Drosophila melanogaster: one gene and its partners. The protein of the gene in region 1 interacts with the protein of each later gene in a pairwise test. Each region holds a gene or a part of one and is shown in the gene's direction. Other genes may lie near its edges.

Region 1 (9,072 bases):
CTAGATACAAATAGGTCAAAGATACAGATGCACAATATATATTTACACAATTTCTTAATTATATGTCCAATAAAACCAAAAAGGTAAATGTGAACGACGTGACCCCTTATCGATTAATCCAATCGATTGAAATGGATTCAGCATGTGGTGTTTGTGTATCTTTGAGATACCCGAGCTCCATACCCGTGCTAATCAATCTGAAAACCTTTAGGGCACACTCCAAGCCGGCTTATATATGAATTACGTGTTTGGGCACTGATCAAAGCAATTGAAGGAGATGCAATAATTGTATCTCTCTTACCAACTTAAGCACACAGAACTGAGTTTTCTGCTCAAATTCGTGTGTAAATCGAAACACAACAACTTGTCAACACTTCAGACTTTAGTTAAGCCTATTAAATGCCCCAAACGCTTTGTTGTTACCGTCCTCGAATGTTTTGGGCCAGGTCTCTTTATTTGTTTGCCTTTTGTGCTTTTGTGTTTGTCTCTTTATTTGTAATAAATATGTTTGGCCAAAGAAGGGGGGATTCCAAGTCAAACTCGAAGTCGGAGTCTCGAGCGAAGGTGGGTTATTAATTTCACAAGTTTTGTCTGAGTTTTTCTACGCTGGCCAGCGCTTATCGGGTTACATAATTGTCGTTGCATTGTCTACCCCACGTTTTATGCAGTGTAATTATCGCACATCGGCGGCGACTTGGAGGGTTTCCCCCAAGGTTCTTGGACTATCATAATCAGGATAACCGAGAACTGACTGAAGAATTGCTGCGCAGGGGACGCGCCTTGTAATTGAGTAATTTCCACTTGAATTTCCCCTTTCAATGTGTGTGTTTCCTTTGCGACTTTGTGTGGGATTTGAGCAGATTGCTAGTCGCAGGACTTCTCCGTATCTATTTCCGTTTGCCTGTGGTCGCTCGGCCGGCTTTGGGGATTTTTGCGGTGGCATTACATTTAATATAAGAGGAATTCGTGGGGTTGGGTCTGTGGTCTGTGCCATGTGCTATGTGTTCTCTGCCCGGAAAGCTAACAAGTTGAGGAAAGCTAACAAACAGGGAGCAGATCAAGCGTTTGTGGCACATTTTTTTGGTTCGGGCAGCGTGACGCGTGTGAATTTCAATTTGAATTCGAAATTGGTAACAATGATGCGGCTCTTTTGCCCGCCTGACAAATAACTGAACTGAAGCTGTGAGGAGGGTAATAACGATGCCGTTGCAGAGACAAAAACGAGCAGACGTGCCTCCAGCATTTGTGTTTGTACCTTGATAGAATTTCAATTTGCCCGGGCAGACAATAAAAAATCTATTAAATTTCCATCTAATCACAAAAGCAATTAATCATTGACACTATTTAGGCGCTTATTAAGCGAAACAGCGCGTTGCTGGGTGGAGGGGGGAGGGGGAGAAGTTCAGATCCGGAGCTTACAGAAATGGGTGCATTGTTATGCTGATGCCTTTGTTGGAGATACAGAGATACAGATACTCGCAATGCAGATACAGATACAAATGAAGATACAAATGCGGCACAAGGCGACGGACACGTAATTACAATTCCTTTGGCCTGCGCGGTCATCATGTGTATAAAAAGATATTGTATCTGCATCCGTGCGCTGGCCGAGCGACATTGAATTATCATCTCTCATCTCCCATCTCCCATCTCCCATCTCATCACCCGTCTCGAAAAACGCCTTTTTCGGGGTTGGGTTCGACTCGGCTTGGTTGACAAACTACAAAATAATAATGTGGCATTCATTGTGCGGCAAAGAAAGGCGGAATGGGGATGTCTGGTATTGTCATGCAGCGACAAGATATTTACACAATTACTCGACTCGACTCGAGCTGGGGATATTTTCACATACTGATTTTCCATTTTGAATTTACGTACAAAGCTAATTTATCATCCGGTCGCGGCTCGAGAAACTGTAAAAACGCCGTGATGTTTTGTCCCGCTGAATGGATGCCAATATTTTTCCGTCCCGGCCAGTGCATAAGTATTATAACCGCAAAATAAATAACAAATATAACAAACGATGCGACCCAAAAGGTAAGTTTCGACCAAACCCCGTCGATTGAGGCTGTCAACGGGTACGCACAATAAAAACCTTTTGTCCCACTGCGTGAGATACTTTCAACTGCACGGAATCGAAGGGATATACATATGTATATGTACAAATACAAATGTGTATGGATATATCGTACAAGCTGTGGACATGGGCAAGTGCCTAATTATGTGGCCGAGTCAATTTGTTCAGCCATTCGACCCATTCCGACTCGTCGCCGCTTTTTGTTTGACTTTTCTCGCTGCGGGCAAACAATAAATGTTTTGTAGTGATTAAAAAGTAGTGTGAAATCGATTATACGTATACGTACTCACATTAACCAGTTCCAGGGCCTCCAGCACCACCAGCACCTCCTGCTCCTCCTCCTTCCAATCCTGCTTCTCATCGCTGGACCGGATACATCCGATCTCCGTCACTCACTCGCCTCGGCCGATTGTCAATATTTGGCCGACTTTAGCGATACATGTTAATTCCTGTTAATCGCCGTGAGTCGGTTATTTTTGATCTCTCGAATACGTCAAGTTAATGTCCACACGGCGCTGCTTGAAAATAATAGAAAATGGAGCGGATACTAATGCTAATGTTTAATTTATTTAAAAAGTTCTAAGCACTACATACAGTTGCTATCAAATTATGGCTGAAGTAATTAAGATATATGTAAATATACTGCATATTCATTTATATAAAAACATAATGCCTCATTTCTTTTTAATCGCTTACCATTTGGTTATATTTGGTATATATCCAATCTAAGAATTTTATAATTAGAAACGGAGGTATTATTATTATTTATGATCCCTAAAAAAACAACCCACCCCAGTAGCTACTTCCACCACTGGGGTTCATATATCACATCCTTTAACAAATGAAGATGTACATTTTATTACAAACAATTAGTTAATTATAAGAAGAACATTTTTCTACCACTGCTTTGTAAAGCTCTTACTAATTCCGTAATACCCCCTTTTAAGGGTATAAAAAGCTGGTCGTTAGGAAATGCAAGCGAAAGCTTGAAAAGCTTTCAGTGGCGCCATAAATACATCTTAAGAGCTGCGTTTGTTTTTGGAACCTTTGCTGAATGAATTTTCAAAAATAAATTTATAAAATATGATTCGTTAAGGAGAACCTAGAATAAGCACTTTCGCAAAAGAGTTGAAAAGAAATAGAAAATCAGAAAAATGCCCAAAAGTATGCACCCATTAGAAGAGCATCCGTAAAGTATGCAGTATCTTTTGAAAGTATCTTGCAGGCAATCGCAAACCCTTGTAACGGTAGTAACAGAAGTCCTATACTCCCATAAAATTCGTTTATGAATTCATAAACACAGTAAGCTCATTTCAGCTATCTATTTACAGTCTACTCACAGAACAAACGGTTATCATTTGTTTTTACAACCCGAGCAATACTCGTCCGCTCAATAAATTGCTTTCCGATAAGTGATATCGAAGCGGGCCTCCAATATAGTGGATAAAAAAAGAACCGCCCCCATTGCAGAGCACTAAAACAACCCCATCATATTGCACGCGAATGAAACTAATCAAATAAAAAGCCGATCTTTGCGTCAATGTGGAATTGCTATGGGGGATTTATAAGGCTTTTTTGTATAAATCCATACATGTACATACACGAGTGATAAACTCCAACTAGCATACACTGTGCGAAACAATGGCAAGCAATTGCGGCAGCAATTAAATGGGTTGCCCAAAAAAAAAAAAAAACCTCAAAGAGATCACTTCAATTTGTGATGACCCTCTACGTAATAGTTCACCGAAAACCTGTCGAATCAAAACAAAAGTCGAAAAAACACGAGGGCAAGTGGAAAATTTATGTACTCGACCAAGCGGATACCACGCAGACATTTTTAATGGATGTCCAAAGTAGCATGATCCCTTCGCAACGTAACCATCAGTTTTCACTGTCAGTTATTGACAGGAAAGTATTTGTAATGAAAAAGCAGAAATAGTCGAACATTTTTTGTATCTCAAGCCGTTTTGTGGGTAATCTTTTTGTGTGGAGTATTTAAGGCTTACTCATCCTCCAATGCTCCAATGCTAGTTCATTATCAATTTCAATTCGGTCGGGTAAAATTCCACTTGTGTAGTTCGGCTATATGGCTAAGGAAGTCGTTGATCAGACCCTCGGCACTATCTAGATTGACGCGCATCGCATTCGTTTGGGGTATATACCCACCTGGTGATTGGGTATCGTGTCTAATGGCACTTACGGTTTTTGCTGCCTCGATTTTATGGCATGCCTTTTTTTTTTGCGCGATATTTGATTTTGATGGGCGCTTTGGCTTTTGCTCTTCGGTTTTGTTAAGCGGCGACATCGACATCGACATCGTTTACTCTCCGCCAGTCAGCTATAGCCGTAGTATAGCTATAGTCAGTCAGTCAGTCAGTCGATTCATGAAAATTACCATTGCAAACGGGCAATTCAATTAGTTGCTACGCCGCGTCAAGTGCTTTACAAGTGGAGAGAAAAGGCGAATAAAGTAGCGACCAAACAATTGGAGTTGAAGTGAGGAATCGAGGAGGGAAATGCCAGTGCAACAGCCGCAGTCCGCGGAAATCGGTCATCAAATGAAGATGAGCAGCGAAGAGCCACCGAGTGGCAAACAAACGTGCAGAAGGTGCGACATCATTTGCTATTTATTACAAAACTATTTCGTATACCCATTTCTGACACACTTTCGGTGCCACGTTGAGTATGCGTCACGTGCGCATAAGCGTTGCCAGCCCCCCCCCCCTCTCTTACCAGGCAGCAAAAACAGAAAGCCAACATTTATTTTTGGCTGCGGCATCGAGAACCGCACTGCAAATACAAGAAAACACAAATGCCGCCGCATTTGTTTATTTATTTTGCATTTTCGCAGGCCGTTTAACCAATTTTCGGTGACTCCCGACGCGGCTAGACAGAAACGAAGTGTCCATAAATCAAGCTAGTCTGGCCTGGACCAGTAAATAATATAATAATAATAATATTAATAATAATAATATGGTATATGAGTATATAAAGTCCAAAGTGGATCGAACACTGTGTCACATGCGCGTGAGTTTACGATGGCTGCTCGATAAGCAACTCTCGAAAACATCAATCGCTTCTATTCGCGTCTTTGATTCGTTGCGGTTTCATTGAATTTATTTATTAATCTAGCGAGCTAAATTGCTTCTACCTCGATCGCTGGCACACATAGTTTCTATGTCTATGTTCATAATTTATTATCGAACTTCAAATGTGTTCCGCCGCTAATGCTAATGCTTTGGGTGCAAGTCGGCGAGTGATTTGAGTGTCAAGGCCACAAGGAAATCCGAATCCGTCATCGCGATAAAGCTTTCGATAAGTGACGTACCGCTGGTCGTGGATGATAAGCAATGCTATCTGAAGTGAGTGCCATGAAAATCCAGCCAGGAATCTTACGGGTAAGTTTTCCAATCACCGCAACCTTGAAGGTAAGTGTAAACAGTGCCATTAATCCCCGCTTCCCTCTTGATACGCTCTTATCAAAAAGGGCGCGCCACTTAAATTTTATGGATGTTTTTCAATTGACAATCACTCGCTTGCCACGGATTTTGTCATCTGTTGATTTATTTTATAGCACGCTTTTAATTATTTAATTTGGTCTATCTCTTGCTCTTCCTATCAGTTTTGATTTGTTTTATCAGTTGGGGAGCGCCACTTGAGACCAATTGAAGTGTTTTTTTTTTTTAGGTTTCACTACCAACCTCAGCATCTGAGGTGTTCTGATAATTGGCGGAAATATTAGGCAAACAGGTATGACTGTCATATTTATTCGAACTTATAATTGCACAGTTTGCATGACTTCCATGTGTCCAAATATGGGAACTTTGGGTTTTTAATTGTTTACTCGGGACTGCGTGACTATTGTGTCCGTAAGTATGGGTTTTATATTAGACTTTATTTGTTTAACTAATGTAAATAGCAAAGTTGTTTTAGAAGTGATGCACCTGTCATGGATTTAATGAGATAATCAAAGTTTAAATTGATAGATTCAGCCTCTAATCTTGTGAAATATCAAATATTTCGTTGGCGTTATTGAAAGAACTCGGTGAATCATGATGAGCGTGTTTTTTATTGATATCAACAAAAACCCGTTCCCAAACTCCACTGTCCACTGCTTTACACTGCTTGCCGGCTGCGAGCTGTTTGCGCTGCTTGAAATAAAGCGCATATCAAAGTGAACTTAGTTGCTTGATAACGCTATCAAAAGCTCACATCACCGGCGTAAGAACGCAGCGTCGACTGAGCAGCTGGCAGTTGGCGTTTTTCAGCAAGCTTCGCACTGCTTGCTTGTGCTGGAAAGCAGCAGCAGCATATAGCTAGAGCAATCATACGCCATGGTGTCCAGCTGCGACGCCGACTGCGCAGCCCACTCGCAGTCGATCGCGCGTATTTAGCTGGAGGCCTTTTCCACACTCAATAGCAAACAAACGATCGATCGGAACGCAGGTTAGTTTGGCTCTCCGTGGTCTGCTTGAGTGTGCGTTAATTAATTAGCAAAGCTGTCGCTAAATTTCATCAAGACTCAGGTGGGCAGAGAGGTGGCTTCGATATAAAAAGGCCTGCAGTGCGTTGACTGGCAGCACAAGTGGTTCGCAAAACGCGTTTTCGAATTGGCGCGCATGCACTTTTGAGTATCGTGATCTGCTTCCTGGGTAAATGAAAAAAAAGGGAAAAAAATAACACAGTGAAACAGAAAGTTGGTGGAATATTTCCATATCTTGAGGAGAGTGAATGAGTGAGTGGAGTGGAGTGCGTGTTTTCGAGTGCGAATTCTGCTTTGGCACGCGTATAATGGCCGATAAATGTTAATTTTATTCAAATATTTGACTATGTCTCGGTTATCTTGGCTTTCAGCATTCAGCTTTCCATTTCTGCCTTATCGCCTATCGTCTAGCCATAAAAAGTAGAGTTCCCACTCCCACAGCGCCGCCACTGGCTGCTTTGAATAGTTGAATAGTTGGATACTTGAATACTTGAATAGTGATCAAACAAGCGAAGAACAATCGAAAACACCCAGGCGGGCGGGCACATTGCCTGCACATTTATACGTTTATTAATATTGTTGTTTACCGACTGCCGCATTATTAACTGGTAATTATGTGCATTATTTAGCATTTGCACCTGATGATGGGCAAGCTTGCAGGGGCGAAGGTAATTGTCAGTGATCCCACGATTGCGCAACTATCAGAGCGAGTAATTAGAAGTTCAACTGCAATAGATACAGATATGACCATCATTCTACGAATGAAAGTGGGAGGACTTCTTCGTGTGACATTCATTTAACACTTGCCTTGTGCTGAAAACCGACTCTAACGGAGAATGTTTATTTTTAAAGAACTGTGCCATGCTTTTTGGACGTTTTGGCTTTTTGGAAAACATTTCCACTCTGTGTGCGCATACATTAGTTCGGTCCGCTTGTTCTACTTTAGCTTTTAGCTACACAAATATATGTATGTACCTATATATGTGTATATACATTCATATATGTTTGCCCCGACCATTGTTGTTTTTGTATACTAATTAGACGACGGCTGGTGTGGCGGTCTTATCAAAATTATCATTGAAAAATAAGTATAGCAACTCGATTGGCGGGGTCACACGATTCTCGGTTCTCGGTTCTATAAAATGAAAAGCGCCCTGATAAGTAAGAAACGGAATTTTTGGCCTTGGATCAGGCGATTTTGCATAGTGCCTGCGCCAAATTGATCATTTTATGATACCATAAGTAGCAATGTCTTATGTGACCACTTGTAAATATTTCAGTTTATCTTCTACATAGAATCGCGGCATTGGTTTGGCTAGCTTGGAATCGAAGTTTTATCTGCGCAATTCGAGAACTTGAACTCACACTCCCACCAAAAAAAAAAACGAAAAATGAAACCAAACAATATGAACATTTTTTTTCGGCTGCCTTGAAGGTCGCAGCGTCTGATAAAGTTGTTAGCAGAAATATCTCATAAAAGGGGTAAAAAGAGAAATACAAATTCTTGTTTATTTACAGATTATTTTACTTAAGTTTTGACATTAGAGGTCAGACTTTGAAAAGCGATTTCAATTGCTCCTTTTAAACAATGTTTAATAAAACAGATGATCTCATTAGTACGATGAGTTTAATAATGACCAAACTGTTCAAGTAATTAGTGACTAACTAAACGAAGTCTCGATTTTATATAAGTTGGCACATGCCTTCGATTAAGATCTTTTGGAGGGGGGAACTCACGAGTTTGTGCTAATCAAATTTGATAAATCAATCGAGTTGCGAATCGCGTGCACCATCGCCAGATCCAGATTGTTGGCTCTATTAAACGAATCGATCGAGATTTGGCCCAGTTGTAAAGTCACATCATATGATTGAGAAACCGGTCGGACACGGAACAGTTGGCCCGACTCAAATTGGGCCAGTTCAAGTGTCTGTTATGGCAGTTCCTGTATGGTAATTGTGCCTGACTTGGCCAAAACCCGGTGATTCTTCACAGTTGGTTGATGTCATTCAATCCCACGCCACCATTGTATTTGTGCTTGACAAACCGCAGCCACTCGGAACTGCGATTAACTTGGTTGCTTTGCCACTTGATAAGGTGCTCTGCCGTGGGGTTAGCAGGTTATCAACGGCGGTGTCCCAGCCGCCATTGAGCAGAGTGTAGTTCCAATTCAAGACTTTAGGACGGGGCCGTTGCATAATGCATGAGCTTCAGCCAAATTCCAGAGTCACTCCATCCTTATCGCCATTATCAAATGGACTGCATATACATACGTATTGCCAGCAAAAATAAAAAATATCACGATTAGAGGCCACATCGAACCATAAATTAACTGCTGACCAGCCTTCGTGGAAGAGCAAAAGGAATTCGTAGCCTAGGTCACTGCCGAGTGCTATCAGAGCAACAGAAATAAGAGTTATTTGCCAGTAATTAGCAAATTGTCTGTCTAGTCATTACAATGCCTTTCACAAATCATAGTCTGAGCAATCGCCTTTCGAGTGGCCCAACCTCGTG
Region 2 (7,012 bases), on another chromosome or scaffold:
CAAAAGTCTTGACAGGGCCCAAACGGAGCAGCGGCAGGTGGGTCAACCGGCCACCTGGTGACATAAACTCTGCATTGTCGCTGATGTGCTCCGTAAATGGTAGGTTGCACATGCGCAAAAACGTCTTCACCGCCAGGCAGCTGGAGCGCTCCGGCAACAGGAGCTGATTCGCCTCGGCCGGCTGATGCAGGTGGGCGTCCGCCGGCCACGCCTCCTCCGACTTGCCCTCCTCCGCCGACGACTGCATCAGGGCGGCGGTCAAGTTTTGTTCCAACTCCATGCTTAAAGTGCCGAAAATTTTGACTGTGGGTTTCTTTTTATGGAATTGTTGAAGTGACAATTGTGGCAGTGATGGCTATATTAATATTTTCATATATTGTGAGAAAGAATTTTTGTTTACGTTTCATCAGTCAACTTTTGAGTACATTACTGCTAGAATTCGGAATATTATAAATGGGTTGCAAATAAATGTTAAATAAAAAATAAAGAATCTTAAAAGCAAATTCTTCCACAATTCAAATAAAATAAAAGTAATGCATTGTAAACTTACATATATGACTTTATAAATTTCAATAATAAACGCTGTAATTCCCACCTAATTAATATGACAGGAGCCAACAATTATTGACGAAACTTACCTAATTTTCGTGTCTGATTTATTTCATAATTTTATATTTCCAGAAATTTCCCTTGAACTTGTTTACTTTCAGTTATGTCTATCCATTGATTGTTTTTTGTTCATGCGTACAAGCAGTTGTTAAGTGAAAGCAAATATATGGCATTTAAGCATTTAATTAGTCTGCAATGAAAGGCATTGAAACTTGAAATGTGCAATTAGCAACGAATAAATGTGAAAGCAAATAAACTATACTCGCAATTAGGCAAATAACTTGAAATCAAACTGACAGAGAGCAATATTCCTACATTGGACTTAAAGAGCTGTCTGCCTTCGTTTCATCGTTGACAGGATTCACTTTTCCACAGAAAAATCAGTTGTGTGCTTTGATGATGGAAATGTTTTGTGAATTTTCTGCTCGACTGGACATTCAAGCAATTAATCATCGGCCACCGCCCTTCCACATTCCATTGGCACCCCCACCAAAAAGGTTTCGGCCCACTCGCCGCCAAATTTTTTTTCTACTACCGCCCGCTGGTTTTTGGCCGACAGCCTCGCGGGAACTGGAACTGAGGATGATAAATTGCTCGGGCGGAGCATTATGCACAGTTTTGTGGCTCCTCTGATCCAGGACTCGAGTGCTTCCGGAAATGAGGCAAAAGTTTTGGGCGCTCTCTATTCGAACGTTTCATGGATCATCAGGTACGAGAAGCTGGCGGGCTCTCCATGATTGCTAATTGAATGGCCTTGATGATACAATACATCGCTACACGGAAAGAAACTCGAAATACTGCACCAAATCGAAAGTTCTAATTTAACAAAGAAACACTTTAATGAAATATCGAAATAATAATTAAAATAATTAATAATAATTAAGCCCGTTTACCATTTGTTTTGTATTGAAATGTTTATTTTAAAACATTTTATTATACTTCTAGGCAATGCTATTTGAAATAACCAATCTGACTTGCGTTGACAGCTGTGAAAATTGCGAGCTTCGATTGACGGATTATCCCATTTTGGGCGGACGCCTTGGACCTGATTAGTATGCCCGCGAAGTTCGAAAGCCGAGACTAATTTAACGCCAAGTAACGAATTTTGGATGAGAGTTTTTGATTTACCAGCCACGTTACTGGGAAATGAAAGAGTAAATATACGAGGGCCGTGGCGTTGTCGTTGATTGATTCGGTCGAGGGCTACTGGGAATTCCGTCCAATCCATTGACAACCAAGTCGCAAAACACTGCCAAATTAATTAAGCCACACAGAGTAGGCACTTCGGAACCGAACCAGTGATATCTAGCCATTGTGGGTTAAGGATTCACGATGCTCGGTATGCTCGGGATGGCAAGGATGTTGGCCTGGTTGAGACATCGTTTCGGCAACAAAAGCCAACAAAAGGCAACAATTCTTACCCACTAATAAAGAATAATATGACTGCCATAAAACTCAATTTATTACCAAAATGTCGACAAGCAGCAGACTTTTGTGCGTATATGTGCCACTGTGTCTTATTCGCTTTCTCCTTTCTTATTTTGTGTGTGTGTGTGTGCGAGAGTTACGACCTACGGAGAAAGGAGGTGAAAGCAGAACGAATGACGTACGGAAGTGGCAAACAGCAAAAGTTTATGCTGCCATTTTTGTTTGGCAATTTTCTATTTCTATTTCAATTCCAAGGCGTCGTTTTATTTGCATTTGGTGTGAGAAATGTGTGCGCGACTTGCGACCCTAACTTGCCCTCTTACTTTATCGGCGATACCCTGTAATATCGAGTGATGTTATTTTCGGTTTTAACTGTTTTAGCATTAGTTTAATTAAATATAATACACATATTGTATAGTATTTGCAGTGTATGTGTAAATGTGTATAAGCAATGCAAAAGTATAAACATATTCATAAAACAAGGAAATTTAAATTGTGTTGAATTTAGTATAGTGTTTACATTTTGATTGCAATGACTGTGAAGCACATATATGTACATATGTACACAATACCTGTTCATCCAACAACTTAATTAAAAAAAAGTAATACTCCAAGTTAATAATTATTATTTTTTTATTTTACTTAACCCTTAGGGTAAGTCACGTGTTGTTCCACCGAATTTCTTTGTACCATCGTTATTCTTGGCTTTTAACGTAATTCTTCTGCAGGACTCCCTAGCTCCTTTCCTTGTCTTCTTCTTCCTTTCCTGCACTCGTTCCATTTTCATCCTTGCTGTGCAATTTTATTTGCTATTTCGGTTTTGTGCTCCGCCATTCCATGTTGCTGCTTGTCTTTATTATTATTTTGTTTCTACAGTTGGCGATTTGTTGCTTTTTGTGTTGGTCGTTGGACGTTGGCATTGTTGGATGTATTGTTGGCCATCTCTGAATTTTGTTGGCCAGCTGTTGGGCGCACTTCACCCGGCCGCTTTGTGGCCACAATTTGGCGGAGTCCTTGAAAGGAGGAGGTGAATGGTGAAGACAATCCTCGCTCTGGACGCCGCTAAATAACCGTTTGGCTGAGCTAATCCACGGCCACATTGTCCATTGTCTGGGAAAGATAAGCGGCCATTGGACGTTTGGTAGGACAGTGGGACACCAACAGCAGATGGTGTGGCACCGGGACTCGGACAAAAGGGGAATCGTTGCCAGGACCAGGACATAGATAAGGCCATACCGCTCTACCCAGATTTCTGCAATAATAAATTTATAAAAATATCTATAAGCTGCCCCCAAATGTAAAACAACATACAAGTTTTGTTCTTTTATTAGTCTTGGGCATGGTTTACACCGCGTATACGTAATGTGAGTAACACTGAGCTTTGAACATTTGTCATAAGCCACGTAGTCCGAACAATCTACCAGCCAAGTCAATCGTTTCTTTCAGATATCTGCTTATTGAACAATTTCTTTTCCCCAGACATCCAGGCAAATGCCAACTGCAATGTTCTGGAACATTTGCGGTTGTCCTAATGGAACCATTACGTCCCAGATATACATTAAGTAGGATGGTGAATGAAATGGAAAACCTTTTATGTTACATTAAATTTGACTGCGTGCCGAGTGACAGTGTGGTAAATGGGTAAATGGGGTAAAGGGTCGGGCTCTGTGTCTCCGTGTCTCTAGGACTCCAAGACTCCGTTTCTGTGTCCTGGCTGGCGGGCTTGTCAAAGTTGTCGCAACATTGTGGCGCTGTCAGTGTCATTGTCGCTGCAAATTATGGCGGCCTGAATGCGTAAATGATGCTTAATTAACATTTACCCAGATTCCAGCCATGCGAAAGCCATGGAATGTCGACGGCGCGGTGTGTGTGCGGTGTGTGTGCTGTGTAGAGTGTGGTATGGTGTGTGGAAGACCCGGCCAGAAATTGCCAGTTATTCGCATTTTCAAGACAAAAATAAGCTACCAAGAAGAAGGCCAAGTGTCCTTGCACAGCCAGCGGGAGTAGTTGGCCATGATTTAATGCCCAAATCGTTTTCGATTTTCATTCATTGCCTTTCAGTCAGTCATCCCCTTTGACTTGAACGAAGCACCTATTTATACATTCTTTTATAAATTTGGAAAATTTATTTGTACATTTCGGCATGACATTCTTCGAGCAGATCAGTGATCACTTTTGCCGCGTTGTGCACACCAATCTCAAGATACCTCTATCATGTTGCGAAAGGCGCATCAACTGGAAAATCTCGAAAAGTATCGATTTATTGGTATTCTTTTATACCCTCAACATCGGTGTCCTTCGATTGGTGAGTAAATGGTAGCCCTTTATTTAATGGTGGGCAGCAAGTAAAGGACTAATTGCACCTAACCAAAATTCGTAGTTAATAAATTTTATAGATTTCATGATCGTTTTCTTCGGATGGCCAAGCAATCTTTTGATTTTAAAGGACTTCAATTCGCGGCGCTTTCGAGCCCTCACACACTTTTTACTGGTGAGAGCGTACATGCTAATGATATACTCCATTGTATTTGTAAGTACAAAGATTTACAATATGTACACACTTATTGTACCATTGTAATAAATTACTGCAACCATTGTTTAAATCCAGATCACTCCGCATAAGAATAATATCTTCGTTCCGCTTTTTGCCATCATCATGACCATCGATGTGTATGTCATTAAATTAGATATGAAGCGACGTGGATTGATGCCTCTGGAGCGCAGTGTGCCCCCCCTATGGGAAATATTGATCAGCTTGTGCTGTGTTGTTGCCGGGCAATGGCTGCTCAAGTATTTGATCTTTCATTAGCGTACGGATTTCATTGTAATGTTTTGTTCGCCTTATAATTGCTTTTTTTCTGAAATATACATTGAATACATTGTCACTCCTCTAATGCTGCATTCTCAATTCTTCACGCGAATGTCTGTGGACTCCTTGCGATGACTGTATAGTCTCGATTTGACAAATGTTTTCATTTTAATTTAATTTTGCTGGCGACAACTTTTTAATTGCCAAGTGGCGAAAAGGGCACACATTCGCGATAAGTGTTACTCTTTTGTTGGCAAGTGTAAAAGTTGTGAATAAAATTACACAAAGTCAGTCAAAAAGTGGTTAGTATTGGCAATTAGGATGTAAAAACTATGCCTTTTTTTAACGGTTTGGCCATTTTTTTAATCTTGAAAGCCATGGAATGTGGAGGGTGCGTTGTACTCGCGTTTTCAAGCCAAAAATAAGCAACCAAGAAGGAGGCCAAGTGGAGGAGCGGGCAGGAAGAAGCTGACAAAGTGGGCCGAAAAGGTGAACCGGAGCACATTGCGAACGGAAAGATTGTAACAAAGCCACAAATGGATGCTACACGGCGAAAAAAGTCGACGAAATTGATTAGAGATTTGAAGAAGAAAGATTTGGCAAATTCAACAGTATTTTTGGGTAACATTGGTAGCTATAAAACTAAAAATTAAAATGTATGTAAACATATATAAATATAATAATGATGTGATATAGAACTTATTTCTTTAAAACTCAATTGCACCTATTGCAATAATATAATCATTTCTTTATCACAGTTTTTTCTGTGTATAAATGCAAACGCATGCAGCTCCACAAATAAGTTTTCGCCTTGTTCGGGTTTATCGGCACTAATTGCAATGCCGAAGAGGCATAGGGAACCCCTTTCGCTTGACCCTAATTAAACCATAAGTCAGATTAAACCGGGCTCGCAGCCCTGGCACGCACTCATGAAAATCACTTAGCCGAATTAGCCGGGGAAAAACGAGATGCTGGCCAGGCCAAAAGCGTGACGAGACGAGGCGAGCCGGGACGAGACATTACGTCAACGTCAACTATGTGGCATTGCTCTGTCCGCCCAGAAGGAGAAGTGGTTAAGGATATGGCGGGATATATAGATATATGCGGAGAGGGTGGTGAAGAGAGGGGGTGGGTCAGCCGTAGGCGGGAAAGGACACGCTTTTAATACAATTAGAGCGCTTAAGTTAAGTGCTCCCAGACTACGCAGATGGCCAGATGCTCTGATGCTCTGATGTTCCTCCGGCTTTTCCCCTACACCGATCTCGGAGCCAATGGCACTTTAAGTTAATGGCGTAAGCACAAACGACAGGGGCGCCCCCAAAAGAGGGCTAAAGGAAAAGGTGGTAGGGGAGGGGGGGGACCTGGGCTGGGTTAACAACAAAGGATTGAACTTTGTTAGGGACAAGCGGTAAATGAAATGAACTACAGGTGGACAGGAAGTTGGGGCTGGTTTTGCTTTCGGTTTAGTTGGGGATTGGGCCAGGACCACTTGGGTTGGCCCAGGTTAAGTTGGGTGCCAATGAAAGCACGAACGAGGCAATAAATAAGAAATAACATGGCTCAGGAAGAGTATGAGGCTCGCAGATGCCCATTACTTTTAAAAAGTTCATTTGGTAGAGGTTTCAACATTTATTTCATTGCAATAATTGAAGTTCATTATCTAAACTGTTAATTGAATACTAAATAATGCAGTAATATAATATATATACTATATCTGCCAAGAACCAGTTCCCGCAGAATCATTTAATTTCTCAACAAAAGTTAAGTTTGCACGGCACCTCATTTCCCAGGGTATCATTTTGACGCGCTCTTCGTCAGCTTTGCACTTGGACCAATACCTACGCCCTGATTAGAGCATTGTGCCATTGACTAACGGTGACCCAGACGGTGTCGACTCCACTTTCAAAGGAGCACCACTTGCCCACTTGCGCCACCCATAATCCGCCAGCCATTTGCCATAATCATTGTCGTTGTCCGCGTCGTCTGCTTCTGGCATAGTGTTAATTGAAAATTAATGGCGTGATGGCAAAAAAAAAAAAAAACTAAACATGAACATTTTCGCTGACTCGCCACCGCCAGGTGGAGCCAGTTGAGCGGCGGAGCCCGGGGAAAATGCGTTTGAAAAACTGTGAAAAAGCGCCGGGGAATAATGGGTAACTGGGGGTC
Region 3 (6,495 bases), on another chromosome or scaffold:
AAGAATTATGTGAGCGAAAATTGCATCCACATCTTCTGGTAATTGTGCCTTTAATTTTATAATATAAATTGACTCGTTAATCGTGTCAATAAATGTCTTTATTTGCTTATTGGATTCTAAATTTAAATTTGGCATATCCATAAGCCTATTCATATGATCTGAGAATATGTTTCTTTTATTCTCATATCGCTTGGTCAAAAACTCCCAAGTGGCTTCATAATTTTCTCCAGAGCCGAGCAGTAAATGAGTAACCACATTTCTGGCTTCTCCTTTTAATGCTGACTTTAGATAATTAAATTTGAGAGAAGGACTGAGATCCTCTCTCACATGTATGAGCTCTGTAAAGAGTTCATTAAAAAGATCCCATTCTTTGGAATCACCAAAGAAGGTGGGAATCTGTATTTTAGGCAGGGTTGGTAACTCCTCCGCCTTAACAACCGTCGACATTTCAGCTTTATTTATTGTGCCACTGAGTCGACTATTAATGGCTGTAAGAATATTTTGTTTGTCAAATTCAAGTTCGCTAATTTCTTCTTCGAATAGCGAACTCTCAAAATGACTATTCACCTGTTCAATCAGGTTATCTATTTTATGCCATAAAAATTCAATTTTATTTTTCCTTATTTTAAGGAAATCTGGACTACTGTCTATTAGTTTAGACGTATCTTCTAGATATACTCGAAATTGGCCAACATTATTACGAAATGCCTGCTCTACTTTTAAAGCGTTGTTTTGTGCTATACCCTCTTTTTCAGGGTGACCACGCATTTCAAGGTTTAATGTAGGGGGAGGGTTTGATTTAGGGACAGTGTTTGATTTAGGGAAAGTGTTTTCTACCGACTCGCCCTTAATTTTTTCATTTTTATTTTTAATTTTTTCTAACACCATCATTATTAAATCATACTGCTTCGCGTTAAAATATTCATGATCGACAACGCCGATCTTTAACAAATTGCTATGATTAGCAATGAAACATTTTTGAAGCTCATTTAATTTTAGAATTTCTACATCTGTTAATGTTGGTTTTACTTCCAACTTTCTAATTTCCAAAATAATTTCGGACTGCTTCTTAAGGAATTGAATAGTCTTTTCTGACATCATTTTGAAAATTTTTTGTAATTTCTTAATATATATAGTACGTGTATATGTATTTTATATGTATTTATATATATATGTGTGTTTGGATAAACAGAAAATTCTTGTTTTGACTTAGCTGATGTCGTTGTTGTTGCTGCTGCTGTTGCTGCTGTTGTTGCTGCTGTTGCTACTGCTGTTGCTGCTTCTGCTGCTGCTGTTGTTGCTGCTTCTGCTGCTGGTAGAGGCTCCTTTGAATTTGACTTCCTTCTCTTCTTTAAGGCTCCGTCGATGTTTAAAGATGATTTTTTTTTTTTTTTTTTTTTTTTTTTTTTTTTTTTTTGGCACGTTTTATTATTTTTGTAGTCCAGTCAGATTTTTTGTTTTTTAGCCATTTATTTCGGCATTTATGCTCTTTTGGCATATACACTGCACTCTATTTATGAGCTGATTTAATGCTATTAGAGCATTTATAAGGCACTGTTTTCAGGCACTTTTTATTTAATTTATGCTCTTATGGCATATACACTGCACTCTATTTATGAGCTGATTTAATGCTATTAGAGCATTTATAAGGCACTTTTGTTATGCACTTTTTAATTCCACAATTGCTGATGTATGGCCTCAAGCACGCCTTACCACAATTTATAATGGTACACAAAGCAACCTTTAGCTATAGACTATAAGGTGCTTGTTTTAAAACATAAAAGATTCTTTTGTATCTTTTGCTTTTTATATTTATACTCTGTTCCTTACCTTTGGTAGGGGGAAACAAGAGTCACTTATTTTTGCTACCTTTAGCTGTAAGATGCTTAAAGGAGCTGGCCTTTCTCTGAGTTCCTTACCTTTGGTAGGGGGAAACTGCAGAGTCGATTAAAGGCTCGATTGACCAAATGTAAAATCCCAAATAAGAAGACTTTACTCGTTGAGTTTTTGTAAGAAACTGATTTTATTTGGAAATATCTTCGGTTTAAATAGGTGACATGAGAATCGCATCTTAAAGTAAATGGCCTACGCAGAGGCCTAAGTAAATAGTCCCCGCCTTATCGAGGTCCCACGCTCGGGCACATCTGCCTATCTTGAGCGGCGAGGACCTTATCTGTGGTCTCCCACTAAGGGACTATTTTAGGAGGCGGGGAACGATCTCAAGTGACTGACTCATGTAGTGTGCACTTAAATTACATGTTTTTGAGCAATGCACCCATGTCGCCTTAGATAACAAAATCCTAAATATAATTTATCGCTCTCGATTCATTTACATAAGATATGAACGGAGCCCAAAATTGTAAGTCTTTAAATATATTCGTGTTCATGTGTGAACAGCCCTGATCAGCGGATCTCCACTTGATGGGCGATGAGTGGCGCCGGCAAAAAGTACAAATACAGTGAGGCCTGGATTGTGAAGGGCGGCCGATTCAATGGCACAGGCCTCCCGTGCCGTCAATTGGACCACAGAGCTCTTTTCTATCCGCTTGAAATTCGTGGTTTCATGGAAGAATATATTTTGTCCACGACTTGGCTGCTTTTTGGCCTTAAGAACATCGAGCAGGGGTATGACTGGAATTTTCTTAGAAACCTTGTCCAATTTGAACTTGGATTGGTTGGCCACCGACTTGGCTGCCTTTTTGGCTAAGGAATTCTGCACGTGCTTTTTATTCTTAGCCTTGCTATCGATGAGATTTGCTTTCTTCGTCGAATTCGTTAGTTCTGTTTGTGCTTTCGGGTAAGCATGATTGTATGCTATCCATTTGTAGGTTAATACGATGCTGAGAATCAGGAGCAGAGAACCTACAACGATTAAAGTTCGTGACACTTTCATTATGAGATTTTTAGACTGCACTTCAACGTCGTAGCTTACGGTTAACTAACAGCCAAATTCGTTTCACTTCACACACGAAATTGTGATTGTAACAGCAATATGCAAGAAAAAAATATTTTGTATGATATTTTGAAAGCTTATGCTCTATATTTTAAGTAACTTATGCTTGGGTTCCACTTAATTCCTTTTTTTATATATCAGCATAATCAAACACATGCCAATGATAATTACATTATTTTCCTCGAATGAACCACGTATAATAAGGTCAAGCGTGTCGAATTTGAAGATTTGTTTCACTTGGCGATCTTTTTTGCCTATATAAGCGGTCTTGCATTTCCTCATTTCTTTTAAATTGACTTCCAACTGGCCGATATGAAGTTCCTAGCTCTTTTCGTCACTTTGCTGGTTGTTCTGGCTTTGGTTAGCGCCCAAAAGAGCCAGAATACAAATCACAACGTCATCGTCATCGGTGCCAAGAAGCCAGGAGCTGCACCTGCCGCAGCAGCTGCTGCTGCTCCTGCCGCACCTCCTGCCGCAGCTCCTGCCGCAGCTCCAGCTGCTCCTGAAGCAGGACTCGCAGATGCTCCAGCCGAAAGTTAAATATTATGAGTCAGAGGTTATTTTCTTCTAATAAAATGGATCGCTAATCACAATATATGTTTATGAGAGTGTTTAATCTATGTATTACAATATTAAACTACATGGACTGACTTTTGAAACCCCAACCAGACATGGGAGTAGATAGTAACCAGACCACTGCTGTCATAGATCCTTCTGAAACAGGTGTGATTATGAATTGGAATTCAAACAACAAAAAGGTATCTTCGGTTCAGTAAATTTCATTTACGTTTCCCAATATTGTTGGGAAAATAATAATTTTATTTTAACTGACTATTGTTATCACGACAAGTCATTGAGAACTGTGGTAGATAGTAACCAGACAACTGCTTTCTCATATCCTTCTGAAACAGGTGTGATTATGAATTTGAATTCAAGAAGAAACTTTTTTTTTCGGCTTAGTAAATTTCATTGGCGTGCTTTTTAAAAATGCTTGCTAAAGACTAATACTAATTTTATGAAATCAAGAAAGATTTCTATCGCCGTGCCAGGTAAGTTCAGATTATATAAATGTTTGTCAGATTGACAAAAGGAATCAAGTGTTATTTAAATTGTAATCGGTCTATTATGTCTCGGGTTTAAGGAATTAGTTCCACTTCTTTTTCTTTCATCGTGCAATTAATTTCAAATTGTCTGGCATTTAGATTAGTATCGCTTACGCAACCCAGGCCTTATAAGAAGAGCACTCCCCTAGCTTGTCATTACTTCCAATTCCAACTGGCCGACATGAAGATCACCTCTGCACTTGTTCTGCTCTTTGCCGGTGTGGCTTTCGCCCAATCTGCGGATCCGAACACCAACGAAAACAAGAATGTGATCCACATCAATAGTCCCAGCGCCGCAAAGTAAATGAGCTTTTGATAATTGCAGGCACAGAATTCAATAAAACATTTACTTAATTGTTTGCATGTAATAGCAATGGCCTATTTATTTTATTTTAAGTTGAAATATTAAATCTATTTTAGTATACAAGAATATACCATATATATTTTTTCATAAACCTTTTGTTCGAAGCTTTGTTTGGCCAAAACTTATTAATGGTCATGGCTTTTACGACTAGTCACAATCTGACAGTATATCAGATGTTTTTGCCTAATTATATTAAATATAAATTTTAATATATATATTTTATGCTAAAAACGCAAGTGTTTCAAAAAGCGCTGATACCGAAACCAAAGGTGCCAATGCCAAATGTACCAAAACCAAATGTACCAAAACCAAATGTAGCAAAACCAATTTTACCAAATGTAATATTCAAAAGATTTGATTTTCGTACGACCGAAAGAAAAATGATTTAACGATATTAAAATTGGCCACCGTTTAAAAGAATTAAACGATTCGCTTGGCTTATGCAACACTTGGCTTATAAACTATATAAAAACCGGGTCTGTGTTTTATTTCTATTCTCTTCTGATAGACATGAAGTTCCTTGCGGGTTATTTTTTGCTGCTTATTGGCTTCGCTGTGGCCCAAAAAGATGCTGATTCCAATGTGAATCATAATGTAATAAATATTAATTAAACAACATTCTATGTTGTGAGAAAAAGAATAAAAGATTCTATAAAATGTGAACTTATTATGTTTTTTATTTATTTGTTATCGTTTAATTTGTGTACAAGCTAATTATTTTATTCTCAAATTAATGTATATTAAAAAGCATTGATCAAGGATTTAAATATATAGTATATTTGGAATAAACTGGAGATATAAAATATAATTGTCCTGGTATTGGATCGATAATCGGTTGATAAATCCGAAGCAGTAGAGAAATATGTTTTGGTCATATACTAGGTTATATAACCCCTATTGTAATAAACCATTTCGAATATCTATAACATATTTTCCTTTAACCAATTCAATTTGTTATGCCAATTAACGATTTCATCTCATGTTATTTAAAGCAACTACAAAGAATATCAATCGTTAGCATTCACCAAGTTGTAAAGATGCACGGAACGCACTTTTTGATCCTGCTTCTGTTGTGTGGAGTCCTGGGATCTAACGGTGTGACGCCCGACATTAAAAACGTGGCAAAGGCCGAAAGAAATATGCACAACATGTTGCGTTGTTTAAAGAAGAACGAGCCAATAGTTAAGTCCAGGATTTTAACCTTGCCGCCTAACTGTAATCAATATGTTAGCGCGGTCGTCGAGACTTGGAAACCGGAAGGAGTGTAAAAAGCCTCATCATAGAGAATTTTATAATAATAGTAAAGATAATGCCCAATTAAAACCTAGACCAAAAAGTGCGATTAAATGTTTGAAATATGTGCTACAAAATGTATTTAAAATATAAACGTAGTTAGTAAGCAGCTTTACATTACAAACTAGATTGCTATGGCTTCATGTTTTGCCAGTTAGGTGTAGAAAGTTTATATTTTATTTCTCTTTCTTTTTTCATGGCGGCATAGGGAGTTGTCCACATATACGAGTATCTGTATTCAACAAACTTTTTATTGTTGTTTCAAGTGGCATTGTTGTTCCAGTTGCTGCCATAGGTAACTACGTGCTAAGAAATGTATAGCGAGCTGCACAGGCACAATATATATTATACAATATATACTCGCTCTGAAGGCGATAGGGATTCATGGAGGAGGAGGCTGCCAGACAATGGCTGGCGCCCACGTCTCCATGGACGCATTCTAATAAAAAGCAAGCACAGAGAATGCCGTTCTGTGTTGCCGTTTTCGCCATTGGCTCGAATGTATCCAGAGTTTCTTCATATTCCTGCCATAGTTCGTTATTCCCATACCCTTCAACAGAGATGGGCAAAGTTTTTCTAGTGTTTCAACATTTACAAGAAAGAACTACCACTGATTTAGCCAGATATAACATATTACAACTATATATGTGATATTTTTGAATTGTCTGTACGTTATTTTTATATAGCCCTACCATGAAGGAATACATAATATATTCCTAATTCGTTTCTCATCACTAACTGGCTTTCTGGAAATCCTTCTCCACAGCTGAACTCCTGCCGTT
Region 4 (8,775 bases), 9.8 Mb from region 1:
ATGACAATGAGGATGCACCAGTTGGGGAAGGTGTGAACGCAGAAAAAATTCGCTTAATTTGTCTAAAGAAAAGCCAAGAGCATGAAAATTTCCATTAAGAAAAATGGTGGCAAGTGTGGCAAGTGACAGGGAAAGCTCGACTTTAGCCCCAAGATTGTTGCAGGAGTAGCAGCAGCATAGCTGGAAAAACTTATCACAGTTGCTCGCTGGAATAATGAGAGCAATCAACAGGAAACTCCGGCAAAGAGATCAAATCAAATCAGAAGGAAGTGCCAAAAGGAGATGGCCGTAATGAAAGCAATCAAAGAAGCCGTTAGCAACTTTCAGGCGATCATTACACTACAAGTTTTTAATGAGCACAGCAGAAATTAATACAAGCAGGAACAGTACAAAACAAAATTTAAGAAATATATTATGCAAATTATTTTACCTGTACTTCGAATGCCAGTTAGAAAATCGATGATCGTGGGGGAAATGCCAAGCGAATCGGACGACATTTGATGCGCCTTCACCGCGAGTCTATCGAAAACTCCATTTATTCCATCAGAAGTCCAAGACATTTAGTCTATAAATAGCAAATGGTAAGAAACGCGCCTCCGCGCCGAAATAAATGCAAATCATCCGTCTGGACTCAAAACTGGAAAATAAAACAAAGATCGCCGCGTTTTCGACCACTTCTCACACCAAATTCAGAGGGCCATGGCGGCAGCAACATCAAGTTGCCGCTGCAACAAAAAAAACACCGCGCTTAGTTGCAACAATGGTCGCGACAACACTAACAATGCCAGCGATGGCAGCAGCAACAGCAACAACTGCTGCAGCAGCAGCAACATCCAATGCTGGTGGCAATAAAATGCGGCAATTACATAGTTGGCTATTCTAATTCACTCATTTTTAGCTTGAAAAAGGTGCGCCTGACTGGGGCTATTGGAATTTATTTTGGTTCTACAGCAACTGCAACACTAAAAGCAGCAACAGCAGCAGCGGCAGCAGCAACAACGTGCAACAAGCATCAACAGGTGATTCGCCTGAATGTTGCACGAAATGGGCAAAACAAATTCGAGGAAAAAATCATCTTAAATGCTTCTGCCGAAGAATTTGAGTCTGTTCTTTTAAATGTTAATTTTTTTTTTATTTCGTCTTCCACTTGCCTGCAACAATTCAATAAAGTTTAAAATGTCAACAGCTGGGCGACAGAAACGAGAAAAAATAAGTGAAATAATGCACAAATGGCTATTGAAGCCCACGAAATGTTTGACTAAGTTTTGCTTCCGTTTCGCATTGCTTTGGAGCCGGAGCCCTCGAGTGTCCACTTGATGAATTAAAAGCGGGAAATTTGCAAAACTTTATTACTTTGGACGTTTTGAAAAATGATCGAAATGCCGAAGAAACCGAGACTGCAACGGTGGCAACAGCTGCCGGCCGAAAGGCAATGACAGCGAAACAAAAGTTGCCCAATTGATGTCAAGTTATTGTTGAACAAATCAAAAAGGGAATTTTCAGCGCGGCCTTATATAATATCGAATTCGCCCCATCACACTGCTCTAATTACATTTTAAGTCGAAATCCTTTCGTAATCGCAGCTACCAACGATTGCACTTGATTTCGAGAGCGTCTCAAAAGAAATTTCAATTTGCCCCCAGAGTTTGCGATATGGGTAACAATCCCAACAATCCGAACAATCGGACCAGTTGGTAGTTTTCAGTTGCCAGTTGGCCCCGATTGTCGGCGGGTATTATGTTGTTAAGACATCGTTTTGACAGTACGTTCGCCTCCGCGTGAAGAAGACCGTTTGAGATACACACACACCACATACACACACGCGCGCACATGTGTATCCGCAGCTCAAGTGTCACGGAAATCTAAAGTTAAAAGTAACCAAAAGTTGTTCAATTACTTTTCACAGCGGTCCATTGAAGATTGCCAGCAGGTGTAAGCGGCGCTGATAGAGGTAACATCTTAGGTACACGAAATGTTACCTTGGAAAATGGGTACCAAACTAATAAAATCTAATAAAATTGCTTATAAAAATAAGATATTGAGATATTAGAGTATCTTTAAGATTGCAGCTATTGAAAACTAATACCATATCTAATATTACAAATATATAATATTATATTAATAATAGTTTTAGTCATAGCCCAGTGTAATTGGTAATAACATTTCGATTTTGGTACAAGATTTTCGCATCACTGATTATAAGATGGGTTGATTGTAAGTGTAGCTATTTTCGATTGATTGCTCCCCATAATAATTTCAATATCTAATTTTAATATCGCACGCACGCACACATCGCCACCTCGCAAGTGGTCAATAAAAATGTGAAGAAACTCTGAAATCAGTCATCGGATTGCTTTTAATTGTTATTTAATCTCGGCTCGTACAGAGGCGCTGTGATACATTCAAGGTTAATTGGTTATGGGATGGGATTTGAGGCCTGACGGAAGAAAAGGAGCCATGCGGTTGATGTTGGTTGGAAGGAGGAAGTTGGCCCAAAGGCACTCGACACGTCTGCCAGCCTTGTGCAATGGCCAATGGATGAGTTTCGGGGCCTCGGCTACGGATCTTTGGCATGAGCCTCACGTCATAGATTGCATTTTGGCAGAGGTGCTGCGGGAAATTGGGACGCCACATGAACACGTTTGTGCAGCTTGTGCAATTTTCCCCGGGCAACCGCATCACGTACTTCTCACCAAACTTATTCTATGTTCTGATGCTTTCCCAAAGGCCAAATGGCAAAAAAAAAAAAAAGAAGAAAAAACAAACAAAAATAAATATATAGATATTTCGAAAAAGGGCGACTGTATCTTTGGAGGCTAAAACGAAACCTATCATCTGACATTCCCAGTGACATTTTCGTATCGTCTCGATGGCAACTGCATCGCCCGAGGGCCCAGACTTCATAAAAGCTTGGCTTAAATATCAAATTTGGCCGAGTATTTAATGAAGTCATTCGGGGCGTTGCAGGCTCTCCACTCGAACTCATCTTGTTATACATCCGCCCGAGCTTCATCATCATCGTGCCAGCCATTCATTTATCATCTCGTTACCCATCATCGTAATGATCGTGCCACGGCGATGATCTGCAACATTTTTCACCACCTCAACACCAAGACTTGGCCAAAACGGTGAGAGCAACGCTGCGCTCTCTTTGGGCCATTCTGAGAGACTCGTGGATGTGGATGCTCTTGGCTCCAGCTCCACGGAGGCAGATGATCTAGAAGTTAGGCGCTAGACTTGCCTCAATTGTTCAAACCGCTTTTTCGTTACTTTTAGGTGCAGTTGGCAACGCGAACGCCGCTGCTACCGCCGCTGCCGCAGTCGCCGTCGCCGCCGACGTCGCTGCCAGCGTCTTTGAGCGTTTATTATAAAAAGCAAGCGCATCTCCATTGTCTAACCTAATTCAAAACGTTCGTGTACTTCGTGCGGTTGTCTAGGAAATCAATCTAGCCGAACCTAAAAAGATAAAACCACCTCCTCTTTAACTGAGGCCCCCTCCTAGTTGAGAAATCCAACCGGTGATAAAAAAATAAAACCCTCCCCCGCCCGGTGAAAGTAAGAGTTAATACAACTATTGTGGCAAGCGAAGGACTACAAATTAAATAGTGTGCAATAATCATAAAAATAACACAAAAGACACTCGATTAACTCGAAACAATATAAATGAAATAATTGACAACTCTAATGAATTTAATTTAATTCAATTCAATTTCAACTTCAGCCAGCGGCGTTTGTGGATACACTACTTTTTGCCATCGTCTGTGAACGTAAAATCGAAACTCAACTAACAAAATGATGTCCTTCAAGTCGTTCGTCCTGCTTGTGAGTATTTATACATACGTACATAAAACAAGGACATGTATTTCTGGGCCTGGAAAAAAAAAACATAGCTAAGCCTACATAAATCAGTTGGCCAAACAAATCATATGAGATTTCGCAGGCGTGTCCTTTGGCTAAAGCGAAACTATATATGTATGTATGTTTGCATGTATGTGTATGTGTGTGGAAAGGCCAGCAAGCTAAGCTTGTTATATGTCAAATTTGTTTATCGCTGGCAGGGAAAAATGACCCGTGGTCACTCAGTGTCCTTTTTCGTCTACAATGTCATTTTTCTGCTGCGGCTTTTGGGGAAAGTTTAAATGAGATTTGCTAGGAGAACTGAAGGCAACTACCCATCAAACTGGTTGTTTCAAGTGCCTGGCAAACTGTTTGCCTTCCTTTTTTTTCGTTTTTTTTTGGTAACACTTGCCGTCAATGGCAACGAAAATGATTGCATAACTTGCCACACGTCTGCCACAGAGCCTCTCATCATCATCATCATAATCAAAACCCAAGTCCACACACACACACACACGAAAGTCAAGTGGCGAAGGGGCCAAAGTAACCCCGCCGAATCGAACAAATTGCAAATAATCAAAGACACTTAAGTGCTCCACTCCGCTCTGGTTAATATATATATATATATATACATATGTACTTGTACGTACTCCTCCATGGATACGCATTCAATATTTGGCAACATCTGCGTTTGCCAAGTGCCACGTAAAATACGCCCCAAATCTAAGCAATACTCCCTGATTGTTCCTAACTAAACACTTGAGTTTCGGAGAAGGCTAAAAGGTTGTAAGGCGGAGGACACATGTTGGTAATATATTTCCCCTTTCGTATTTAGGCATCATCTGAGGAAAATTGCAAACCTTTTTGCTCCCCTTGAACAATTGCAAATATATAAGGCTCCAACTTGACTTTATTTTGTAGGCAAACTTTTCTTAGCTGGTGCTAAATTGACACAAGTTTTTTTTCATCAAATTGTTGAAAAATATACTTTATACTTTACTAATATAGTTTCGTAAAAATATTTATATAATTTGTTTCAAATTGCTGTAAATTGACACAGAAAGAGTTGTGCAACTAAGAAATTTCTAGGTGATCCAAAATCCTTTCTGTTACCTATTAATTTACACATTTCGCTTTGGAAATTCTCCATATTCTCACAATTTTATTGTGAAATTACAGTATTGAATACTTTTCCTGGAAGTCCAGAAGTTAACCCGCAATCAAGAGCACACTTGTAAACTGCGAAATACTTTCACTTGTTCGCCATTGTTAAAGCATTTTGAATCGCGTTTTGGGACGACGCCCTTAAGCAGGCAACAAAATAAAACAGACGCGAGTTTCGCTGGCTGCTCCTTGATGTCCTTTTATTTTTTGTAACTGGGGCGTGTTAAATTGTTGGTGCGACACTTGGATGCAATGCAGGTCCAGACGGCAGACCACACTGTCTGGAATCCATCCAATGTACCTCCGCCCATTCCGCGTTACGTGAGCACACAGGAGAAAAATTAGATTTCTTCAAAAACCAAAAGTGTCTAAAAAGATTGAGATATAAAATTATATTAATAGGTACTCAATGAAAGCCATTCAAATGTATGAAGATTTTCAAAGAAGACATAATCAATATCTAATTAAAATTTAATTGGTCATACATCATGTAATTACTCGAATGAATTTTTACGATTAACGTAATCGTGATTAATGGACGAGCATAACTAGTAGTTAAAATAAACGCAATATATATGCAATGTTTGAGGCCAAAGTGTTAGATCTTAAATGTTCTTCTATTAGCCATGTTTTTTTTCAGCGGTTTTTCTCGCAGTGCACTCCTCCATCTCTGATGCGTCTGGTCTGCCAAGCAGATAACTTCCAAAAGGTACACCAGACGATAGCAAAGGAATAGAGTTTGAGAGCAGAGTGTAGAACTCCAGCCAGACGCGTGTAATTTGCCGCTTGTAACTTTTTGACTTTTCACCAGCGATTCTCCATTTCCCCAATGCCGCTATATTCCCCTTATTTTCTTCTCCTTTTTTTTTACCATTCTTGTTTTGGCCCGAACTGGGCGAATAACAGCAGGCACGGAAGCGTACCAAGCCAAAAATAAAAACCAGGAGCCCAACCACCCACTGCCACATCCGCCCACCAAAAGGCAGACACTCGATAGACAAATGGCCGCTGGCCAGTCGAGTGCACGGGCTTTTGAGAACATCGGGGCGAGCATGTTTTACATGTTAATTTCAGCCCGGGGGAGACTCAACTGGCCAACTACCCAGCTAGCCAACTATAGGGTACAGAGTACGAATACGTCGAGCACCCACACCAGCTAGTAATGCCCAACTGCTGCTGCATATTAATGCCCATGATTCCAGCTGCTCATTTTCGCACGCGAAAATTGCAGAACTGGTGGCAAAGAATTCGAGAAACGATTGGTAGCATTGACTGGCATTCATTCGGGCACGCTTTTGAATTTCAAATGACAAACCTAAAATATTCACAGTTTGATATTTGAGTCCGTCCGATGATGGTGCTGCTGCTGCTGCTGCTGCTGATGATGATGATGAGCTGGCAAAAGCCGAAAGTCGAAGCTGCTAATTCTGCATTCTGCATTCTGCATTCCGCACTCTGCATTCTACAAATGCTGAATTGTTGCATTCGCCGGCCGCAGCGAATGGGCAATTGTGAATGCCGGCATGGGTCAATGCAATGCTGCCTCCGATTCTGATTAGAGCCGCCTGATTATGGCCAATATATCGCATGTCTGGCCAAAAGTCTTTCATTGGCTCATCGCTGCACTGCTGGCGATTCGAGTGTAAGCGATTGCCCAATGAATGTTGGATGTGTGGAGGGTATTTCAAAGGGATATTTGCATTTCGTTGGGCTCCTGCTAAAATTCTACAAATTATCAAATTATCAATAGAAGTTGCACATCCGTGAATCCAAATATTTCAAACAACAAGCCCATTATTATTTTTATAAACTTCCAATTTATAGCAGCGTATTCCCCCATTCGTCATTTCGCACAGGCTCTACCCTTGCATTACAAATTCAATTTTAATTGAAATAATTTGGCAGATTTGCCAGATTTCGCTTGATGCCGATTGGCATTGCCTCAAAGCTGATCCGTGCTTAGGTAATTGAGCCCGGGGGTCGTCGAATGGGCGCTCAGACCCATTCTTCTGCCTTGGAAGTATGCAATTTTGCGGCTTCACCGATATTTGCTGTAGCTTTGTGCGGTTTTATTGTCTTTGGCAATGGCTCGAATGCGGGGGGGAAAAAAAATCCAAGCGAAGAAAACCCAAATGGCAAAAAATTAATGACGCTTGAGCAAGCGGCAAGTGCAGCAGCATATATGTAGTATGAGTTGGATGAGGGGCTTCTGCGGGGAAATGGTAACCAGCCAAGCATCTGCGCCTTTGTGTGTGTGTGTGTGTGTTTGTGTGGTAATCTAATTAAATCGAAATTTCAGCTGATTACAAAAGCCCAGCCTCCGCCTCTGAATTCGCTAATTGCCCAACCAAAACCAGAGCGTCCAACGTGGCGTATGCGCAATGTGAATAAGAGGCATTTCTCCTCCGTTTCCCTTAGGCAAGGAATTTTTAATTGCACTATTCTGGCTGCAAGTGTTATTTCGTCGGCGCTTTTGTGGGTCCACAACAGCTGGCAATTGGAAAATTAGTTCACTGGGGTTTTTAACCGAAATTCTAGCATTTAAATGGCAGAGAAATAGTTCTGGAAAAAGTTGTACTTGGTTTTTAGTGTGCAACAATTTCGGTAGTTGTGGTTTCTGCACAACAATTTTGGCTTAAAAAAAGCTCATAATTTTCATTCGATTTGGATTTTTTGTTATACATCAAATGGTTATACCAAAACTATAAGCATAGAAACTAAAAACTAATTAAATCCATAATTCAACCATAATACCACATTTACCTAATAATCGGTTTTTATGAGACAAAAAAGCTCCCACATAGTTTTTATAACATTTTAAGTAATTGCACATGAACAGCTTGCAAATGCATAGTTGGTCATAAACAACTACTTGAAGTATTCGATCGTAGCATATAATTTATAAGTTTTTTCTCACCCGTTTTTTGGGTATTTGAAAGGTTAATATCTTTATGGACAGCCGGCGGCTTTTGTGCATTGAAGTGTGTTATTTAATTCGGGTTAAATAGGGTTAATGTAGTGTAGAAGAGGAACATACTAGCTGAAGATCTGCCGATAAACAGGCGAAAAGAAATTGACTTATCACAGGTGAATCCCCAAGGAGGCCCAAGTCGTGAGACAAGCTGGCCAACCTTTGATCTTTGGCATTGTCCTTGTATCCAGCGGGCACGTGACTCTGTGACAAACAGCTGGAAACATTGGGTGCAAATTGCACAAGGAAAGCGCAAAGAGCTGATTGAAATCGAATCTGAGTTGCCAGCAAGTTGCAAGTTGCCAGTTGCTAGTTGCAAGTTGCAACAAAAGACTCAAGCGGCGAACTGAAAAACTGCAATAAAAGTCATTTCCCATTGCAAGCTCTCTTCTCCCGCCGCCGCCTGCCATTCACTTGGCCCATTAACTTTTATTTTGCCAAATTTGCATTTCAATGCCCCCAAACGAGGGGGAGAGCAGCTTGGAAACACAAAAAAAAAAGCAAAAACCGCACAGCAACATGCAACATGCAACAGAGCAGCAAAAGCGATGCAGATGTAGATGGCGATGAAAAGGTCAACCAAATGTTTGTTGTTCTACTGAACGAGTCGCGACGCGAAGTCGTGTCGTGTGTTGCAAGTGCATGTTAATCTAACATCTATGTAGGGGACTTTTTTCGGTTGTGCTGCTCTGGTAATTGCTGGGAAGCAGCTGCGGTGAGATACGGCACAACAAAAAAAATGTGCAAAAATTCCATAAATTAAGACAACATGGCATCCATAAGTAGGAAGCCAGCCAAACCTC

The links.
Region 2: the proteins of Eglp2 (region 1) and CG32588 interact in a two-hybrid assay, tested with the Drosophila melanogaster proteins (one large-scale study listed by BioGRID).
Region 3: the proteins of Eglp2 (region 1) and Mst57Da interact in a two-hybrid assay, tested with the Drosophila melanogaster proteins (one large-scale study listed by BioGRID).
Region 4: the proteins of Eglp2 (region 1) and Cpr50Cb interact in a two-hybrid assay, tested with the Drosophila melanogaster proteins (one large-scale study listed by BioGRID).

What each region holds. Positions count from the first base shown.
Region 1 is NT_033778.4:23,612,124-23,621,195, reverse strand, and holds the start of Eglp2 (entomoglyceroporin 2), read left to right. Parts: upstream 1-4,441; 5' UTR 4,442-4,593; coding exon 4,594-4,685; intron 4,686-6,485; exon of another isoform or gene 6,486-6,729; intron 6,730-9,072.
Region 2 is NC_004354.4:15,203,724-15,210,735, reverse strand, and holds CG32588 (uncharacterized protein), read left to right. Parts: upstream 1-4,099; 5' UTR 4,100-4,180; coding exon 4,181-4,342; intron 4,343-4,417; coding exon 4,418-4,567; intron 4,568-4,645; coding exon 4,646-4,846; 3' UTR 4,847-4,929; downstream 4,930-7,012. Other genes in the region: CG5662 (uncharacterized protein), read right to left, coding at 1-280.
Region 3 is NT_033777.3:25,828,647-25,835,141, reverse strand, and holds Mst57Da (Male-specific RNA 57Da), read left to right. Parts: upstream 1-3,242; 5' UTR 3,243-3,265; coding exon 3,266-3,493; 3' UTR 3,494-3,567; downstream 3,568-6,495. Other genes in the region: Mst57Db (Male-specific RNA 57Db), read left to right, coding at 4,238-4,360; Sfp96F (seminal fluid protein 96F), read left to right, coding at 4,931-5,032; Mst57Dc (Male-specific transcript 57Dc), read left to right, coding at 5,458-5,688. UniProt on the Drosophila melanogaster protein: Transferred from male to female during mating and may affect egglaying and behavior after mating.
Region 4 is NT_033778.4:13,791,384-13,800,158, forward strand, and holds the start of Cpr50Cb (cuticular protein 50Cb), read left to right. Parts: upstream 1-3,393; 5' UTR 3,394-3,555; intron 3,556-3,721; 5' UTR 3,722-3,792; coding exon 3,793-3,822; intron 3,823-8,775.